Linked DNA regions of Danio rerio. The protein of the gene in region 2 interacts with the protein of the main gene of each other region in a pairwise test. Links are inferred from orthologs where the notes say so. Each region holds a gene or a part of one and is shown on either strand. Other genes may lie near its edges.

Region 1 (3,167 bases), on a different chromosome or scaffold from region 2:
CTCACTCCTTTTCTGACCAGATGATAGGCGAGATCAGTGGCCAGCATATCTGGACTGAGGGCTTCTTCCATCTTTGCTTGATTGACCTAAAAAAAAAATAGAAAAATATAACATACTGCAAGCAGAATCTACAATTAATAGAAAAACTTCTCCTTTCACTGCTTAAATTTCACCCTAAAATTGGATTACTACACGTCCAACAGGTTTACATCTCATTCCACTTCATTTACTATTTAACCAAAGTAACATTTTTGCTTTTGATTACCATTGTTCATGATAAAACTGCATTAACTTGTGATGTAACCCGTCTCTCACCTTTAGAGTTGAGATGACGCCTGTCGCCACCTGCAGCACAGCGTGTACAGTATCATATGTATCAAACATGGCTTCTTTATCCTCCTGCAGTGATGAAATCTTGAATTAGGGAATGTTTTCATTTTTAAAGGTTACATTTGACATTTTCTTCCTGTAGTTTGTGGATTTACCTGTAAGTCTTTGTTGTACGTGCTTGGTAAGCCTTTGAGTGTCATCAGAAAGCCTGCACACTGAATTAAAATGAGATTTGATTTGAGTAAGTCTCAATGTTTTTGTGTATAAATATTAAAAATGTAACTTTTAAATGTAAATTCTAAATGTGAACTATAAATAAATATAGTTTATAAAATCTCTAGCTATTAATACATCAGTGGATGTACTGACGTTAAAGCTGATTGTGTTTTAGATACAATGATGCATTGACTGCCACCATTTATCAATTGATTATTGTTTTAATTCACAACCATCAACTTATTGAATACTGCATGAAAAAGAACAATTTAGTTTAGTCAATGTTTGATGGCATCTACCGAAACGAGGATGTTATTAAATAGGCTACATTTTATACAGAGTTATTATCAGAGAAATTCTGTGGTTTTAGCAGTGGTGGAAAGAGTGCTGAAAAATCATTTTCAAGTAAAAGTACCATTACTTGTCTAAAAATGTAGTGCAAGTAGAGTAAAAGTATCTGTTGTAAATATTACTCAAAGTATGAGTAAATAGTAGACCTTTCAAAACATTTCAGGAGTAGTGAGTAGTGAGTAGTGAGTATTACGCGGTAAAAAGCTGATGCGTTTACATGTAATTTGTGGATGTGTGTAAACGTAACATTCTGTAGTGCAGTGGTTCTCAAACTGTGGTACGTGTACCACTAGTGGTACGCAGGCTTACTTCTAGTGGTATGCTGAGGAATTGCTGAGTAATGAATGAAAAAATTTATAAAATTTTGGCTGTTCTCTAAGACCTATGATCAAAGCCCTGTGCTTAAAATGTTTACTTTAGTGTATTGCGTCTTCAGCTGCTAAAAATCAATCCAATTGGCGCAGAACTAGAGAAAGAGGTGCGTGGTGCTTGAAGAGCAGATATGTGATAAAGCAGTGGTACCAGGGCACACAAAAAAAATCATTAATTATTTCCATTTTATATATTATCTAAGTCTGTCCGATCATTTATTTTGAAAATTCTTTTGTTTTGGAAAAATTGCCGTGTTCTCCTTTTACATCTTGATCACTTTTTAATAATGTTTTTAATATGCCAAAATTTTAACCACAGGCTAGCAAAATGAGTAAGAACTGCCAACGAATGGATGCGCAACCCATTTGTCAACAAATCAGGTAAATCCAGCATGAATGTGCAAGAATATCAACTGCTGTAGATCGCAAATGATGGCGGCTGTTCACATATCGTGTCATTTCCACCTGCAAGTTTGTTATTTATAATGAAGGCGACAGCATCACAATGCGCTTGCGTATTCCAGTCGTAACATGTTGAAAACATCTTAACTTTTCAGAATGCCACACCATGAGTCACGTGACAAGAACTGACTGATTGGCTTCATATTTTATAATTTCGGTAGACTAATTATCTCAAACTAAGACAAACACAGAACACAGAAACACTGCAGTGCTATTTAACTTTCTCCATAAATAAAACTTGTATCAAAGTGGAATAAAGTTTTGTCAGCTTGACATCCTCTGAGAAAAACGGGTTCTCAAGCAATCTACATACAAGTTAATGTTTGGATTTCAAAAAGTTTTACAAATATGTCATATGTGCATACAACACATATTTCAAAAATTATTTAAAAAAATTATAAATATGAATATAAATATGACTGTCTCGTTTTCGAACTGTGCAGTGCTGTAGCTGCTTAATTTGGCCAACTACACTACTTTCACACTACACTTTATTTCAATACTGGTCATTATGGTGGTACTTGGAGAGGCAATTTTTTTCTTAGGTGGTACTTGGTGAAAAAAGTTTGAGAACCACTGCTGTAGTGCATTTAGTTATTGCCCAGCAGGCACACAATGTCATAAGATGTCAATAATAGGTTAGATTTAGGTTGTGATGTCAGGTGACCAAAATTCAAAGTCTTGCCAGCGTCAAAGGACAACGTTATTTTGAGATCCAATTTGATGTCAAATGATGTCGATATTTGGTCGATTTTAGGTTGTGTTAGAAAGTGACCAAAATCCAACGTCGAGCCAACATCTTAAACCAATGTCATGTTGACATCAAATACTGACTTTTCTTCATCAGCTATGGCAAACAAAATCCAACATCTGATAGACGTCATAGTGGTAACGTCCACACAACATCAAGCTGTAACATCATTAGACGTTGATATTTGGTTGATTTTAGGTTGGACATTGATAGCGGCCTGACATTGGGTTCTGATGTCAACCTGGTTTTTATATCCAAACAAAATGCAACGTCCCCACAAGATGCTGAAATTTTGTGCATGCAGGGTGTTTAAGGCCATTTCGGTCATTATACAGTAAACATCTGTCATCTTCTCATCAGTGACATGCAAATGTACTAGTAAAAGTACACAGTTTTAAAACTACTTAATAAATTGCAATTCCTGAGAACAAAAATACTCAATTACAGAAGTTGGAGAATTTGTCATTTGTTTCTATTCATATGATGGACAGTGTGCTGGTTCATCCCTCTGTTAGTGGTAAGGCCATGCAATGTACGATGCCATAATGAGTAATGAATAAACGAATGAAAATACAAAGACCTATCCATATACACATATAATGTAATGCTGTACAATAACGTGTCATTTGTTTGTTTCGGTTGTTTTCATTTGAATCATTTCATGATAATGCGATTGTGTGTTTTGT
Region 2 (3,840 bases):
ATTTTAACTGTTTACACCGCACACTAGTGGGCAGAGTCAGTGCAAACAGCCTCTGCCAGTAAGAGTGTAAACAAACACTCCAAACAATGCCACTAGAGCTACAATGTGCAAACAAATATTTCTGCTTCAATTTCATACCTAATATATATCAGTGCAGCTTTTATAAAGCTAATAGTCTCATAACATGCTTTTCTGTAGGATTCATAAAACATGTGCATCACAACATGGAGCATGCAATATATATTTTTAAATCAACATCAACTCTTTTTAATTAATTCTTTCAAACTGAGAACAGCTGGATTGACTGAAGTGTTTATATGAAGTCTCTTCAGTCTGACTGAGTCATGCAAATTATTAAAGACTGATAAAGCGGATTAAACTAATGTGGCCTCAGACGTTTGGACTCCTACTGTATTCTGCGGTAATCAGTGCTCTCACCTGTGGAGTCCAGTTGGCCCTGCTCCAACTGCGTCTCATCCAGAAACAATGATGTGTTTTTGGCCAGCTGAAGAGTCCCGCTCACTAGACGGTTAGCGGTGTAGTCTTTCCGAGGCACCATGCGCTGGGTGTTCATATTATGCAGGCTCATTGATAGTCGGTATGACTAGCAAAAAAAGGGGAATCATGTTTAAAAAGTAGTAGTGTTGCTTGTCGTATATAATCAATTGTATCTATAATAGAGGTAATGCAAGAAAGATCTACAATGTAGATGACTTACAGATGGCACAAGCTGTTGGATGACTTTGAAGAGATGCTCTGTGAATGGAGAGCTGAGAGGACAGCCACTGAGATTCAATGTGAATTTGCCCAAAGGAAGAACATCCCGTCTGCTGTATCTGTAAAAAAAAAAGACATAGTAAATCTTTATGAATCGTAGTCTGAAGGGCTGTGGGTTACAAGGTTTGTGTAGAAAACATTTCACTTTTCTTGAAGCTGAAAATCATCTTAAAACGTCTTTAAGGACTTTAAGGAACATCCCAAAACAAAATATGCTATATAAATTACTAGTCAAGTCCGAAATCATCCATACCTCAGGAAAATTCTTACTTAAAGTTACTTTTATTCAACCAGCAAATTATATTTGCTGGTTTCTTCCAAAAGATAATATGATGATGTAGGCATCATTGTGGAAAAAAAATCATTCTTATTTGCATTTATTTTATTTTCATTAGAATACAAGTCGGAATTTGCAGAATAGTATGCATGCATAAGGCGCTCAACAAAGCCACTCAGAATAAACAAAAAGAAACATACACATTGGAGATGAGATGGAGAATGAGGAACTCTGCAGCAAGTGAATCTCCCATCAGGATATGTGTAAAGAATGTGAGCAGCTCTGCTCGGACTGAAGCCAGCTCGCCAAGAACACAACTCAAATCTGGAGAATGTACACACACAAAAAAGCCATCATTTGGACTTGAAACAGGATTGTCAACAGCTGATACTAATTCTTCTCACTATCTGGTCATCATTTTGTAATATATTTACAATGGTAACATGTACAATGCGCGCGCACACACACACACACACACACACACACACACACACACACACACACACACACACACACACACACACTTACACAATTACTTAATACTATAATAATCCACACTCACTGACCACTTTATTATGTATTACTGTTCAAATACTCGTTAATACAAATCTCTAATCAGCCAATCACATAGCAGCAACTTCATTGATTAGGCTTGTAGACATGCTCAAGATGATTTTCAGAAGTTGAAAGAAATGTGATTTAGGGGACTAGGAACTTTGCACTGTTGCCTATACCAGATTGCCACACAACTATCTCTAGCCACTCCTCAGCTACTGATGAGAAATGTCTGGACCTCTATGCCGACCACAATGTGGTCATTTCAAATGCCTTTTAATTGCAGTGGTAGAAAAATGGTTTGTGGCTGCAGCTGACTATTTAAATATAGCAGGTTTGGTGTCTCATGACCACAAAAGTGATCAATTAGTGATCAGTAGTGTGTATACGTCACATCTCAGTGATGGTACAGCTTGCTTGAAACCTCACCCGAGATGGTACTTTTTTTAGTACCAGGTAGATTGCAGTGAAAAAGCCCCCAGAAGTGAGCCATAGTGTGCTACATCTTGCAATGAAAAAAGTGCCTGATAAGTCCTAATACTAAACTCAAATTGAAGGATATTGTTTCATCAAGAGTTGATTGAAGAATTTTAGGGTCACTGAGTTGTTTGTAAATGGAATAATCTACCAATTATCATAAGACAGAGTCCAAGTTCAAGCTGCATTTGAAATGCTGGTTAAAATGCTTCAGGTGTGTGACCATTAAGTGTGTGTTTTATTATGATATTTTGATAATGTTTTTGTTATATAATTTGTATTTTCCTGCCCAGAATTAGCTATGTAGCTAATTCTGGGCAGGAAAATACAAATTATATAACAAAAACATTATCAAAATATCATAATAAAACACAGCTATGTAGCTATGTAGCTAATTCTGGGGCAGTTTTTTGATTGTCCACAATCCCTGTTAAATAAAGAATTTAAATAAAAATGTCAACTTAAACACAAGCAAGGTGTAAATAATAAAGTGACTGTGGTGAGTGTATAAATTTCACTAAAATGAGCAAATCCCAAATCACACAAGTAATATCTTACAGTCTGCGTTATTCTCCAGTGGACTAGAGGGCAGCAGTGGGTTGTTGTGCGCTAGAGGTTGAGCATACAGCATGTGCAGTCGTGGTACAAGTGACGCTGGTGGGCTGTGAACTCTCTGTTCCTCCATAGTCTCCATGCCTTCTGTGGGGTCCAGCAATGAAGATGCCTCTCTGAAAATATGACAAACATTATATTACAGTTTAACTGCAGAGAACCTCCTATAGCAATTACAACCATCTCAAAAAAGGCTCCAGATTACCTCTCATCTGCAATCACGCTCAAGGCTGGGTCCACAGAGAGGATACCAAATACCTCCAACATGTCATTCAGCTTGAAACTGTCCCAGTCCTCATACACCTGCCAATTACAGAAGACGCTAGATTTATATGACTGTCTGTGTAGGTGGAGAACAATCCAATGGTGCGAACCATCATATTATTGCAAGTAAATTACTATGTTAACATGTGGCTGCTCAAGACAGCTTGATTCTGAAAGGCTTGAGTCTGAAAGCAGCGCATTAAAAACGACAACCTATGACAAAAATAATTTAATTGAGCGTGTGTCAAGACAATGGATTAAGATGAAAGAACAGTTAAACCTTAACAAGACAGGCTGGGCCCTTTTCACCAGGCAAAGGGAAGTTGAGATCCAGGCTGGATGTGCAGTGTGATGAAGACGAGTCCTGACTGGGGGCTTCGGTCTCTTGACGCTTCGGCTCAGTGTTGCCGTGAGACTCAGAAGAGCTTTGAGCTCCTGTTCAATGACAAACCTTTTAGTCCTAAACATTTATATATCATTGGTAGACCAAAACAGTCTACATGCTCACAGACTGATAAGGTTAATTATTCTTTCTTACCTTGGCTGATATCTTTGGTCTGTTGGCACTGCGTGTCCATCTCATCGTCTTCTTCATAGCTGCGCTTATGCCTGTTGGGGACGTAGGAAGTGGAGGGCACCACTCGTGCCTGACTAGTGCCTGCATAGCTGTTCTGGGCTGTTAAAGATGTGATGAACTTCCATATTGGTCATTGTAAAAATTCACATACTTGAACTTAATCATGTTCAATTCAATGAAATTATGCTTAAGTCATTTATATAAGCATAAACTGACCCTCAACGCCAGATTTTGCCCCATGATGCCAATTTCATTCTGCATGAACCTGTATTAAACTGCTTTCTGTTGGTTTATTGAAATG

Evidence for each region.
Region 1: the proteins of mcmbp (region 2) and asl interact in binary tests that used the Homo sapiens proteins (3 or more experiments, as listed by UniProt). The two-hybrid records come from large-scale screens. The link is inferred for Danio rerio from reciprocal best matches to the Homo sapiens genes MCMBP and ASL.

The regions. Positions count from the first base shown.
Region 1 is NC_133196.1:33,927,393-33,930,559, reverse strand, and holds part of asl (argininosuccinate lyase), read right to left. Parts: intron 546-3,167; coding exon 486-545; intron 400-485; coding exon 316-399; intron 87-315; coding exon 6-86; intron 1-5.
Region 2 is NC_133188.1:28,760,252-28,764,091, forward strand, and holds part of mcmbp (mini-chromosome maintenance complex-binding protein), read right to left. Parts: intron 3,631-3,840; coding exon of another isoform or gene 3,630-3,630; coding exon 3,501-3,629; intron 3,398-3,500; coding exon 3,243-3,397; intron 3,002-3,242; coding exon 2,904-3,001; intron 2,815-2,903; coding exon 2,645-2,814; intron 1,379-2,644; coding exon 1,255-1,378; intron 837-1,254; coding exon 719-836; intron 605-718; coding exon 439-604; intron 1-438. UniProt on the Homo sapiens protein: Associated component of the MCM complex that acts as a regulator of DNA replication.